Drosophila melanogaster: one gene and its partner. The protein of the gene in region 1 purifies or fractionates together with the protein of each later gene. This does not show direct contact. Each region holds a gene or a part of one and is shown in the gene's direction. Other genes may lie near its edges.

Region 1 (6,941 bases):
ACATAACTATATACGTTTTGGTTTTACAGGTTTCATGCTTATCGATATTTTATTACCTATCTTGTTTAATTGACTTTTGATCGAGCGCTACGAGATTAATGCAATCAGACTAAAAAAAAACAAACAAATTTTAAAAGAGGAAATTTATTAAAATACGATTAGATTGCTTCCAGCGCGTGTCTATTTTTTTGGCATAAATATAGGCCCCTGCGTTAATCTGTAGCCCATAAGCTTCCAACATGTGCCCAGTAACTACATTTCTTGTCCTCGTGCTGACCCTGTTGGTTCTGGTCTACGTGTTTCTGACATGGAACTTCAACTATTGGAGAAAACGTGGCATCAAGACGGCTCCCACATGGCCATTTGTTGGAAGTTTTCCCAGCATTTTCACAAGAAAGCGAAATATTGCCTACGATATTGATGATATCTATGAGTATGTATACAATATGAGTGAGAAGGGCAAGCTATAGTTATGTTGTATAATAGTGGAGTCAAAGCGCAGTTTATACTTAATGGGTGTAAAAATCAGAACAGTCTTCTCTAGAGCTAATATAAGTTACTTTTTGATGTGAACTTTTTGTTTTTGCAGAAAGTATAAAGACACGGACAATATGGTGGGCGTTTTTACCACCCGAGTGCCCCAATTGCTGGTCATGTGTCCGGAATATATACACAAGATCTATGCAACCGATTTCCGTAGCTTTCATAACAATGAATGGCGTAATTTTGTAAGTACTCGTAAGTTTAGTAAATAATGGATAATCCATTACTGAATTACAATGTTCATAGGTGAACAAAAAGACGGACATGATATTGGGCAACAATCCGTTCGTGTTAACTGGCGACGAGTGGAAGGAAAGAAGGTCGGAGATCATGCCAGCACTGTCCCCCAATCGAGTAAGGAACCACATTAACCATCTATCCAATCAAAATTCTATCTTTGAATTCCGTAAGGTCAAGGCCGTTTATCCAGTATCGCAGAGCGTATGCAAAAAGTTCGTGGAATATATCAGGCGACAGCAGCAGATGGCCACCTCCGAGGGATTGGACGCCATGGATCTGTCTCTTTGCTACACCACCGAAGTAGTTTCCGACTGCGGACTGGGAGTATCGGCCCAGAGTTTCACGGACACTCCCACGCCGCTGTTGAAAATGATAAAGCGTGTGTTCAATACCTCCTTTGAGTTCATCTTCTACAGCGTTGTTACCAACCTGTGGCAAAAGGTGCGCAAGTTCTACAGCGTACCGTTCTTCAACAAGGAAACGGAAGTGTTCTTCCTGGACATCATCCGGCGATGCATTACTTTGAGACTGGAAAAACCAGAGCAACAGCGCGACGATTTCCTCAACTATATGCTGCAGTTGCAGGAGAAGAAGGGCCTGCACACGGATAACATCCTGATAAATACGATGACCTTCATTCTAGACGGATTCGAGACTACGGCTCTAGTTCTAGCGCATATTATGCTGATGCTGGGACGTAATCCGGAGGAGCAAGATAAGGTCCGCAAGGAAATTGGCAGTGCGGATCTGACCTTTGATCAAATGTCCGAGCTTCCGCATCTGGACGCCTGCATATATGGTGGGAAATTCTATCTTGATCTCTTGATATTCAGTTTCTTTAACTACATTATAAAATTTTATAATTTTAGAAACTTTGCGTTTGTTTTCACCGCAAGTTGCAGCACGTAAGCTGGTCACCGAACCCTTTGAGTTTGCGAACAAGAACGGACGCACTGTGCACTTGAAACCCGGAGATGTGGTTACTATACCGGTAAAAGCTCTGCACCACGATCCGCAGTATTATGAGGATCCTTTGACATTCAAGCCGGAACGTTTCCTTGAGAGCAATGGAGGTGGTATGAAAAGTTACAGAGACAGGGGTGTTTACCTAGCTTTTGGCGATGGACCTCGTCACTGTCCAGGTTGGTGTTATAAAAATTTATCTGAAAATCACATACTACAATAAGTCGATCTCTACATTTAGGAATGCGATTTGCGCTGACTCAACTTAAAGCAGCTCTGGTGGAAATCTTGAGGAACTTTGAAATCAAGGTTAATCCTAAAACCCGCTCGGACAATCAGATAGATGATACTTTCTTCATGGCCACCTTGAAGGGTGGTATTTACCTGGACTTTAAGGACCTTTAAATAATAGCAATAATCATAGTAAGCTTTAAGCTTAAAAAACTGGATAAAGAGAAGTTGTTTGCTCGAAATAACAAAAATTAAAATTAACCTTGATTAATGCATGATAATAAAAAAAAAATAAAATGCAGTAGAGATTTATTACTCAAGAAAGGCAAATGTTGCGGATGATCCACAACAAGGCTCGATCGAACATGGTTCGACAGTGATGTTGCATGCGCAACAAGTTCGATTGCTAGTGCGCAACATGTCGGTTGTAGGTTGGCCATCCGATTTTAAATACTTGCAAGATATAAGATTTAATTGAGATTTTATAATAAAAAGTAATAAGAATTATAGAATTATAGATCAAGGGGTGTATAAAGAATATAAAGAAATCGATTCACCATCATAGGCATCTCAAGGCTCAAGCTCAAGGGCAGTTTTGGTGGAGATCGTAAGAAATTTCGAAATCAATGTAAACGTCAAGACGCGATCGGATAATCGACTGAATGACATCTGCTTGACGTATTTTGAAGAGCGATAGTAAAATGGCTGAAGTGTTGTTGTAAGTGTTGATAAGATAATGCGCCAATTAAAAATGAAATCAGAAATTTGATTAACTACTTAGGTGCTACACACATTGTTTGTCCAGAGTATCTATACCCATTACTCGTTAAATGAAAATGGGTATGTTGTATTCCTAGAAAAGTATGCAACTGATAGATGGACCTTCTGAATACGACACATTGTTTTTTGTTTTCATCAAGCATCGCACTTTGCAATCCTACTTATTTATTTAAAAGTCGATACATTGCTATTTTTCCTTTAATTGTTTATGGTTTATGTATATGTCGTTTAATTTCACAACCGTTTATTCCATTTCTCTATGCTACTAAAACCGTTCCCTTAAAACACATCTTTATCTGCGTGCTTTAGATACATATGCCATGTACAATAATTGTAAGTTTGAGCACTTAGTGAAATGACAAGCTGAAAAGTTCTGTTTCATCGTCATATCATAAAATGGCTTTTCTTAACAGTTTTTGTACTACTACTTTGTGGCGCATGACCTAGGACTAGGTATATTGTAGCCCCTTGATCTTGATAACGAAATCAGGCATTATCTTCAAATGGTGCAATTTTATATACGACAAATATTAACAGCGGTGGTGAATGCAATTTGATCAATTTGTTTACTGGGTGAATCCATCCACTTGACTGGCGCGCAAGTTCAATTTAAATGACTGCGGCAGCTCAATTGAGTTCCAGTTGGTTTTCATCCGCGTTGGCGAGAGGTTGTGCCATGTGTCCGATTTCCACGGCTCTTTTTGTAATTGCGGCCATCCTGGCCTTGATCTATGTCTTTCTAACATGGAACTTTAGCTACTGGAAGAAGAGGGGCATTCCAACGGCCAAGTCATGGCCCTTTGTGGGCAGTTTTCCCAGCGTTTTCACCCAGAAACGGAACGTAGTCTACGACATCGATGAGATCTATGAGTAAGTGTATAGAGTTAGCTACGTTATCTGGTTACTGATTGCATCATCTCATTAGGCAGTACAAGAACACCGACAGCATTGTGGGAGTGTTTCAAACCAGAATTCCACAACTAATGGTCACAACTCCGGAATATGCGCACAAGATATATGTTAGTGACTTCCGCAGCTTCCACGACAATGAGATGGCTAAGTTTGTGAGTAGATTGCAAATACATACTGGTCTTAGGAGCCCATTTCATAAGTTAATTCACACAATAGACCGACAGCAAAACGGATCCCATTTTGGCGAATAATCCGTTCGTATTGACTGGTGAGGCCTGGAAAGAAAGACGCGCCGAAGTTACACCCGGACTTTCGGCAAATCGGGTAAGCTTAGGTTGCCCTCGAATTGTTTATTCAAAACTTATCTCGTGCTAATGTTTATTTTCACTGGGGGCCCTGATACCCTTATCAATTGAAGTGCTCCAATCAATTAACGCTCTGCCTCCCCAAAAGGTCAAAGCTGCCTATCCCGTCTCGCTGCGCGTTTGTAAAAAGTTTGTGGAATATATAAGGCGACAGAGCCTGATGGCCCCCGCCCAAGGACTAAATGCGAAGGATCTCTGCTTGTGCTACACCACCGAAGTGATTTCCGATTGTGTCCTGGGCATTTCCGCCCAGAGTTTCACGGATAATCCCACACCCATGGTGGGAATGACCAAGCGCGTCTTCGAACAGTCTTTTGGCTTCATTTTCTACACGGTGGTCGCCAATCTATGGCCACCAATCACGAAATTCTACTCCGTTTCGCTGTTCGCCAAGGACGTGGCTGCGTTCTTCTATGACCTCATGCAGAAGTGCATCCAAGTTCGGCGGGAAAGTCCGGCGGCACAGCAGCGAGATGACTTCCTCAACTACATGTTGCAGTTGCAGGAGAAAAAGGGACTGAATGCGGCGGAGCTGACCTCGCACACAATGACATTTTTAACGGACGGATTCGAGACCACCGCACAAGTGCTTACCCACACACTCCTTTTCCTGGCACGCAATCCCAAGGAGCAGATGAAGTTGAGGGAGGAGATCGGTACCGCCGAGCTGACCTTTGAACAGATAAGTGAGCTGCCCTTCACCGAAGCCTGCATCCATGGTGAGTTTTTTGGCGAAATCTGAAGTTATTTAGTATGCGTATAATATCTATATCTGCAGAAACTTTGAGAATTTTCTCACCTGTTCTGGCTGCCCGCAAGGTGGTAACTGAGCCCTGTGAACTGACGAACAAAAACGGAGTGAGCGTGAAACTGAGACCCGGGGATGTAGTCATCATTCCTGTGAACGCCTTGCACCACGATCCCCAATACTATGAGGAACCTCAATCGTTCAAGCCCGAGCGATTCCTGAACATCAATGGCGGAGCCAAAAAGTACAGAGATCAGGGTCTATTCTTTGGGTTTGGCGATGGACCACGTATTTGCCCCGGTGGGTAACATCATTTTTGAAACAATTAAAGTTACTAAAAAAAATCTATGCATAATTTGTAGGTATGCGGTTTTCACTTACCCAAATCAAAGCTGCCCTGGTGGAAATCGTGCGAAACTTCGACATCAAGGTTAATCCCAAAACTCGCAAGGATAATGAAATTGATGATACCTACTTTATGCCAGCCTTAAAAGGCGGCGTTTGGCTGGATTTTGTTGAACGCAATTAGTTATTCAATAATGTTACGACTTTATATTAAATATAGTTTATCCAGTTGCATACATGTTATATTTCCAAACACTCTTAATACTTTAATTTTGTAACTTAAAACCACACTTTTAGTCTCGACTTAGGGCTAGTTGCACTAGGGGCAGCACCTTGATAGAGGACAAGTCTGCCAGAATCGCTTCGATGCTATCCAACGAGGCCACCTGCATGATGCTCTCCTTTCGAAAGCTAAGAATGATGATGGCGAATAGAGGAAGGATCTCCAAGCTATCAAAGCCAAGGATCTGAAAAGGAAGGGATAAGTACTGCCAATAAGAACGGAGGTGTATTTCGTACCAGATCCCAGAGGACCAGCAATTGATCGGGAGGCAAATGTCCGGAAAACGCTCGCATAAGCCATTTGAAGACCACCCGCAGGCTAAGGAAAGATATGTCGTGAAATGGGTGAAATAGCTGTCTAACGAAAAACCCAATCCCAACTCACGGCTGTATCTGAAGCTCTCGGAAATGGGACCATAACTGCGGTTCGTATGTCTGCAGCAGCTTCTCGAAGAGCAGGCACAGACTGACAATCCCTTGAGGATGCGTGTTTATGGTGGTCAAGCGATGGCAGTACCGGATATAGAAGGCCCGGAATGTATAGTATAGACTCACCGGCGAGTCATACAGATAACAAAAGGGGGCGGCAAACATGCAGATGCCGTGGAAGGGCACCACACCCGATGGAGGACCTTCGTAGGTCTTGCCCTTCACCGGAAACGTCTCGTATTCCACACATCCACCGATATCGGTGTCCCGAGAAAAGCAGAGCAGCACCTGGTAGAGCACGTCCTCGAACACAAAGTACTGGTCGTCGTTGGAGGCCGTCAACTGAATGTCCTTGAAGACCAGTTTGTCAACGATGTGATCCGTAGTCCAAACGGCATTGCGCAGCTTTTGCCAGTACTCAATATCCTTCGGGGGTATAGAGATGTATAATGAGGTTATTGATCCCAAAATCAGTAGTTACGTAGTCATGTAGCTTGCTGTCCAGCACCGAAGCCCAGAGAGCTCCCCTATAAGGTGCGGGTGTGCAGCCCTTCTTCAGAAACTGCTGGCACATGGGCGCATGCCTGGCCTCCAGAATCCTCTGGCACTGAACCGTAAGATCCGGCACTCCCAAATAGCTATCACTTCGCAGCAGATCCGCGTAGTGGGCACGCAGCTCGAAAAGATTTTTCACAGGTAGTGCAATGTGGGAGAACTCCCATTGGGGGATTTGACTAATGAGCAAAATGATTATTTACCTGACTGATTTAAACCAAAACTTACTCTGTATTTTCAGTGGTTTTGGCGGGTCCTTTTAGCGAGAGTAGCACCTCCAGTAAATCCTTTGGAGCGTAAACAGGCCTATAGTTGGCCAGATCTAGAAGTTTAACCATGGTTAATTGTTAGCTTCAATATTTACGAAATGCCTACCCATATTGTAGTTGCTCAGTTCGTTCCACTTGGCCATAAAGTCCTCGCGATCAGCACTGATCCTTGGTTGTCCATGCAATGGAACCTTCAGCTCTGTACACATGGCATTCAAACTCTTCCTAACCCTTCGATCCCAAAGCACACCAGCTCTTTTTAAATATCCAAGTGGATCA
Region 2 (7,371 bases), on another chromosome or scaffold:
CAGTGGAAATGCAACCGCGTCGACCAAATAAATAAATAGAAACTTTGAGAGCCTCGTTTGTTTGCTAAGAAATTAAATGAAAATCGATCATTTGGGAAATAAACGAATGGCCGGCCAGCCAGCGGAATTCAAATAAATAAATGCCAAACGATTGTGTGTGCCCCAAAGTAACTAATCAAAGTGTTCGACAGGTTCCTTCGGCGATAGCAAGTGGAAGACAATGTCGCGGATATGCTAAGTGGAAATGGATCCGATGATTTGTGATCTGTGGTCTGGCCGCATTTGGCTATTGATACTCATTTGCCTGTGCGGCTTTCAGCAGTCCCGCTGTTTTTTTGTTGACTATACAGGTGAGTTTAGTTCTTACTATAAGGGTAATTTTAATTTCGAAGATATATATATAAGTACGTGCATATTTTCATTTAGAAGCTCTTTTTGTTACTACACATTTCCGCTTTCATTCGTCAAAATATTCAGAAGGTTAATCGCAATTTCGGGGAGCACAACGCTTGATAAGATACTGTCAATTTGGCTATCATTGACACAGAAAAAAGTAAACATTGCCATTGCCTTGATTGAATGGTTCGGAATTTTTGTTATATCTTTTTTGCCGGTGCAGAGAACACAGAGTTAATTCAACAGAGAGCCGGATTCGATGTCAAGCTGCAGTGCAATCTCAAAGGTCTGGTCGATGAGAGTATGCTGAATGACATCAAGATACATTGGTACTTTAAGGTATGTACTATTATTATTATTATTATTGTTGGTACCCATTGATTAGCATTAAACTATTTCAGCAATGCAGCGAAAACAATTGCCATCAGTTGGGATCTGTGGACGAGTGGACTGCTCTGCCATGTGAGCCGAGTCTTTGTCGTCCGGAACTCTGGCTCCGGAATGTGACGGAGCGGTATTCGGGACTGTACAAATGCAGCATTAATCCGCACATTTGGGATAAAGCCCAGGCTGTGGATGTTCAACTGGTTCGCACCTATCAGCTGGATGTTAAAAGTATGTACAATTTTCATCACCATATATACCATATACCATATCGAAAATTATGTATAAATTCTATTTGTAGACACCTCATTGGCAGCCCCTGAGTTTGTGGACTCGTATCCCAACAACAAGACCACATTGGTGGGCAGTAGGGTGGTGTTCCAGTGCCGTGTTCACAGCGAGGAGCATCCCACAATCAAGTGGTTTCGCCGGCAGACGTACGTGGGAACTCAGTCAGGTGGCGAAGCCTCCTCGGCACCCACAACCTCAAATTTTAGCAACCATATTGTCCGGTACAATGGTCGAACATATGAACTACTGTCCACCGATCCAGAAAAGATGATGGCACCCCAGATATATCTCAGCAAATTGATTCTGGACGGAGTGAGATTACGAGATGCCGGACACTACGCCTGCGTGGCCATCAGCTATCGAGGCCATAAGATCCGCGAGGCTTTCCTGGATGTGCTGGCCGATGTGGAGGATACGGATCAGGAGAATGAGTACTGGTCGGACTACGGTAATGAAGATGAGGGAGTTCCGACTAGCGATCGACGGGAGTTCCTGCTGCTCTTCCTTATGCCACTGGGATTGGCTCTTCTTCCATTGACCGTGTGGTTCAGTTATCTGTTGTACAAACGTTGCTCTGTGGGACACGGCGATTGCCAGCGAATAGATTCGGACGAGGATCTGGACACGGAAAGGTGTGTCCTCGGGGGAAACAAGCATTAAAACCGAATATTTTTGAAGCTGCACTACGCTTATTAAGATTATGGATAAAGACTGTCTATAGAGTTATGAAAAGTAGACTTACAATCTGAAATAAATATATAATTTTTTATGCGAACTTTAGAGCTAATCGAGTCAACTGTAATGCCTACATCAATAAGGACATTTTTAAAAATCTAGAAAACCTATACTTTTATGCCACTTGGTTGTCTGTGAAGGTAGTGTTCGCATGTAACTAAGGCAAGCTAAGCAAAGTTCAAAATTTTCGTCGAATGAAATTCCAAATTTGTTTCGTCTTCAGTTTCCGGCAGACAAAGTCCTCATTTGGACACCGCCGACATCGCCATCATCGCATCTGATTACAGCAATCCCATACACGCTACAGCAGACTGCCTAATCCCCTAGAGAACTGGTACTCGATATCCACAAAACTGATGATCATCGAACTTTGCCTGGAATTTCACTTGATGTGGGAATTAAATGTTCGCATCTATTTTATGCGAATGAGAGTGGCCATTGTTAATCAACTGGAGCCAATTGGGGACTTCTCCTACTAGAATTATTCATAATATCGAGCAAATTAACTATCCAGGATCAGGGTTAACTAGACGTCCATTTGTTCAGGAGCAAACTGGCCAAAATGTCTGGATCGAGGCGACGCCGTACCGTTATGGGATACTACGAATACATAATGCCCGGGATTTATGAGTATCCTTTGATCCAATGTGATGCGAGTGCAATCCGTTCCTATAGTATTGACTCCATAATGACCAGTGCTTCATCAACTTGGTCAATTCCAGATAGCAATGCCGCCTATGTAGCTGGACCAATGGGCGTTATCCACTATCAATCGGATATGCAAACGCACTTGGCTCTGCCAACTAGGCAAAATCTGGAAACTGGTCTTATATATCCAACCATTGAATCCAACTCATGTTTCCATGAGCCAAATCTAGAATATGTTCAAATGGAGAATGAGCACACCGATGACGACGAGGGATACGGCTATGAAATTCCCGAGATTGTTCTCTGCTTAAACCGTTCAAATTCAGAGTCCGGCGCAGCTGAGGAATCTGGCGATTCGCAGCGTTCGTCAAAGAGTTATTCATCGGTGGAGATTAGCGAGCAGTCAAGATCGGGGGAATACGTTAAATTAGAATCGGTTTTCAGGAGGCGAAGAAAAGTATCGCAGAAGCGCAAATATACCACCGAGCAGGGTTACCTGGTTGAGGAACCCACCAGCGAACCATCTGAGGAGGATGCCGAGGAACAGGCACCAAAATCCAGAAAATAGATATCTCATATTTCAGTTCAGCATCTACGTTTGACTATAGAAAAAAAACGTTACCCTCTTTGATTTTTCGTTGGAATTTGTAGTGATCAAAATATATATATTTTATAAATATTTATTTGGTTAACTTACATGTGTATATGATTAGCGATAGTTGTATGTCGCAAGGTAAGATATAAAGGCAAGACAAATAACTTGAAAAACAATGTTTTTCACATGAGTGCAAATTGATAGACCACCATATTGCACACAGTAGCACCTAGTCGAGACCCAATTTGTACTGCCAATGAGCGACTAATTTAATTATTCGCACATGTTCAAAGACTTTACTCTCGCGCAATGCCAAAATCACATGGAAAACTTGTCTCCCCGGCTCTCCGACTGTCTCTAGCTGGCTCTTTCTGTTTTATATAGCCTTCTCTCTCGCTTCTTAGCGCCCCCTCTCTTTCTGGCTGTGAGGCAACCTTCCATCGACAGTCGCTCAGTTGTTATACGGCTTTTGTTGCCATCGGACGTGACTTGTATTTATTTATTATTTGTTTCGTCGACGGGGGCAGCGAAATCGAAAACACTCGCTATAAAATAAACAAAAAACTATTTTTAGGCTGCAAATCTGAAATATATTTTCTCGATCAACTGCAGCAGGAGCATAGAGACGCCACCGCACCCCCTCCCTAAAAATGGACTGCAAATCGCGACGCGGCACCAAAATATCGGTGATCGCCCTGGGAAGTGCCCTCTGTTTCGTCATGATGGCATACTTTGTGTTCGGCGACAGCAACGACGAGCAGGGTTTGCGGAATCTACGCATGATATCCATAGTAAGCTGCCGCCACTTCTGGCATAAAGTTGTAAACAACGAGATCTGAGCACTGTGTTTATCAATCCAATCCAATGCCCACCAGCTGTTCCGACATGGTGCCAAGAATCCGAGTGGCTTCTATCCGTTGGATCCGCACGCTGCCCACGACTGGCAGGGCGGGATGGGAGCCCTCACGCCGGTTAGTATTCGATATACAATAGTATAGATTAGGATATGGATCCTACCTAAACTTTAAATTCTTTCTCTTAACTCAAAACGTATAAGTGATAACACATCAATTTTCAATAGGGCTGATCAAAACTGACACGCCCATTCTTTTGGAAATTTAAAAAAAAATTGTTTGATTTTCGTACTATTTGATATATTATTGCTTGCACTAGCTGAGAAACTAGACTATAACGCTCTCGTTTATGTTTATTTATTTTCCAATTAACACATTTTATCGTACGAATTTTTACACTTTAAAGAGTATTTATTAAACGGTTATCATGTAAATAAATAATGTCAATAATGTAAAACAGTGTGTTTCATTGCATTTAAAACTCCAATTTGGTTTTAATTTTATGATCCAAAATGATCAATGAAGAATGAATTATAGATGCAAGTTGGTGATATCTAAAACTTTAATGCTAGACACGTAAAACATACATTACTATTTAATATATTTTAATAAAGATATTTATATTCTACAAATTTCTTAAACCCCCTTTGACAGAAAGGCAGCCTGCAGGCGTACAACCTGGGAAGGAATCTGCGCATGCGCTACTACCGTCTGCTGCCTCCGAACAGCCTTTACACCCAGCAGCAGGTGAATGTGCTCAGCTCGGCCGCGGAACGCTGTGTGGTGCGTCAATTGTTTCGATAAGAAATCCTCTATAACTCTATTTGCTATCTGTCCGAGATGGTGGTGCCCTAATCAGTTGGCCGTGTGTTATCTTTTAGATGAGCGCCCAGAGCGTCTTGGCCGGCATGATGCCGCCGCTGGAGAACAAGAATGTGCTACCCATTCCCTGGCAGCCGGTGGCCGTCAATACGCTATCTCGCAATGAAGATATCGTGAGTGCAATTGTATATTTCCATTAGTCAAATGCAAGTCATCATCATAGTACTATGATCTAACTCTATTAGCTGTTGGCCCAAAAGAAACCGTGCTTGAAATATGACCACATTCTGCAGAAGCTTTACAAATCTCCGCCTCCTGAACTCCAGAAACTGAACGAGGACAACATGGAGCTGTACAAATTGCTAACCAAAAACACAGGCAAGGTGGGAGAGAGTTGCACCCATATTGGTTGTTAATTCCTTTATTGCCATACGATATATTTCACTTTTTCACTTCTGATATTATCATATTATCCTTTAGAACATTTCAAATGTACTGGACGTGGAGCTACTCTATGGCACACTCAAAACCGAAGAGGAAGCTAATCTGGTGCTGCCCGATTGGACTGAGAATATATACCCCGAGGAGATTAGGCCACTAGCTGAACGTAGCTATATGCTATTCACCGAAACAAATCTAATGAAGCGGATTAAGGGTGGCGCTTTCCTTACGGATATACTCAACAAAATGCAGAATAAGCGCAAGAGGAATCTCAATCCCGATCGCAAAATATTCCTGTACTCCGGTCATGATGTGACTTTGGTTAACGTGATGAATTCCCTGGGCATACTGGACCAGACTACCAAGCTTCCGGAATATGCATCGGCATTGGCCTTCGAGCTTCATCACAGCAAGTCTTTCAGTGATGGAGACTTTGAAGTGAAGGTTGGTATTGGTAGCGTATTACTATTAACTATGGGATTCTTACCAGTTTGGGTTGTTTGGTTGCAGTTGGTTTACTACTACAACAGCGAAGACAAATTCCCCAAGGAGCTGACCATTCCCAATTGCGATGCACCGTGCTCACTGACCCAGTTTGAGGCCTCTGTAAAGGCCCTGCTTCTAGATAACTATGATGAGACTTGTGAAAATCATCCGACCGATTGCAAAACATAAGATGCCTTCCAGACTTTGTTGAAAGTGTGTGTCGTTCTGGGTTGTTGTTTAAGTGTCTGGCCATTGCTAAGAAATAGTCAGATGTGATTTTGGATAATTTTAAATAATTGGTTTCAATTAATAGCTTTAAAATAAAACTAAGTCAAGTAGACAAACTAAGTAATGCAAGGTGTAGTTATCTCAAAAAGACAAATACATACATATATGGATGAGATATTTCCAGTGTTCTCTTCTAATTACATTAACTGAATATGCATATATTTAGATAAGAAGGCTTTTCTTCACATTTCACATTTTGGAGTTCAGGAAATCAAATCAAAAGCTTGAGCCCTTGTCCTCAGGATATAGAAAGTATATGGGAACTTTTACCGTCTCGCTGACATGAACGATCTCGGTGTGACTAATTAGACGGATGGCAGCCAGTCCATAGAAGAGCATTGGTAAGCCTGTGTAGAATTTAAGGATATAAATGCGGTCTTTTGGGAGTTTGATTAAACTCGAATGAGGACTTTCCCATATGCATTTCGGGATTCATTACAGGGCATACACCTTTTTCGAGTTACCACGGACCTATGTAGCATAATCCGTTTACTGGACTTACCCAAATTAATCACCTTAAGGAAGCGAAAGAACTTGTCCTCCAGCCAAAGATCCTGCACCTCCCTCTTGCTACAGTGGTACTTCATATAGGGATAACAGGCGGTGCGAAGAATGTGATAGTTGGTTCCGTTTTCCAGGGTCCAATTAAAGTGAGACATTCCCCTCTGATCGTTGGCCACATCGTGAAACTAGACTTGGAGCATATTTCTCATTAGATCTGGTGAAAATATTGGGGCGGAAAAAGGGGAGTCTTACCTTCACGAAATATGATGTCCAAGGTGGCTCATGGCATTGTTTCAAATATGCGGTCAATACTTCCGAGGCTCGAGGCTTCAGTAAAAGGCGGGTAAGCTGCATTTTGTATCCAAATATTGAAACTATTGCATCACAAAATAATAACAATTGGCTTTCATGGGTTTTGTTATTACTTTTGCTCTCTTATCGAATCAACAGCTGTTCTGCAATCGATAATCGACATACTGTTATTACATCGATAGCAGTAGCGATAAGTCGATAATTGCGCGTAATTTGAAATTATTTTTCGAACACATATTTTCTAACATTCAATCTTATTTAAGCCTCGTGTCTGTTAGAAGTACCAGCAAGAGACCCGAGCTATCCGAGCACTTTACGCTGGATGAGATGGTGGCCAACGAGAAGCTGCTTCAGTATGACGAGGGCTCAAAGGAACGCACGGAACTGGAAACCGCCCTGCTGGGCGTTCTCAATAGGGTAGAGCACGTTCCCATCGTTATTAACGGCCAGGAGTTCCAGGCCAAGGAGGACTTCCAACAGGTTCTGCCCTACGACATCCAACAGCCCATTGCCCATTACGGTCATGCCCACCGCGTGCTCATCCAAATGGCCATCGATAAGAGTGTGGAGGCGCAGGTGAAGTGGGACAAGGTCAGGCTTAGTGATCGAATTGAT

Evidence for each region. The genes of interacting proteins can lie anywhere in the genome.
Region 2: the proteins of Cyp28d1 (region 1) and CG6656 purify together in Drosophila melanogaster (affinity purification with mass spectrometry, with the first as the bait; one large-scale study listed by BioGRID). This does not show direct contact.

What each region holds. Positions count from the first base shown.
Region 1 is NT_033779.5:5,207,069-5,214,009, forward strand, and holds Cyp28d1 (cytochrome P450 28d1), read left to right. Parts: upstream 1-3,391; 5' UTR 3,392-3,433; coding exon 3,434-3,627; intron 3,628-3,682; coding exon 3,683-3,821; intron 3,822-3,885; coding exon 3,886-3,993; intron 3,994-4,122; coding exon 4,123-4,753; intron 4,754-4,812; coding exon 4,813-5,082; intron 5,083-5,144; coding exon 5,145-5,311; 3' UTR 5,312-5,377; downstream 5,378-6,941. Other genes in the region: Cyp28d2 (cytochrome P450 28d2), read left to right, coding at 240-433, 590-728, 790-897, 955-1,582, 1,653-1,925, 1,988-2,151; CG7742 (uncharacterized protein), read right to left, coding at 5,421-5,594, 5,647-5,728, 5,795-6,264, 6,320-6,572, 6,622-6,715, 6,769-6,941. UniProt on the Drosophila melanogaster protein: May be involved in the metabolism of insect hormones and in the breakdown of synthetic insecticides.
Region 2 is NT_033777.3:21,871,791-21,879,161, forward strand, and holds CG6656 (uncharacterized protein), read left to right. Parts: upstream 1-3,502; 5' UTR 3,503-3,699; coding exon 3,700-3,840; intron 3,841-3,924; coding exon 3,925-4,020; intron 4,021-4,557; coding exon 4,558-4,686; intron 4,687-4,784; coding exon 4,785-4,898; intron 4,899-4,970; coding exon 4,971-5,108; intron 5,109-5,205; coding exon 5,206-5,610; intron 5,611-5,676; coding exon 5,677-5,841; 3' UTR 5,842-5,998; downstream 5,999-7,371. Other genes in the region: CG31431 (uncharacterized protein), read left to right, coding at 245-350, 620-735, 798-1,011, 1,082-1,731; CG31178 (uncharacterized protein), read left to right, coding at 2,369-3,022; CG34148 (uncharacterized protein), read right to left, coding at 6,157-6,287, 6,443-6,629, 6,697-6,798; P5CDh2 (delta-1-Pyrroline-5-carboxylate dehydrogenase 2), read left to right, coding at 6,708-6,787, 7,020-7,371.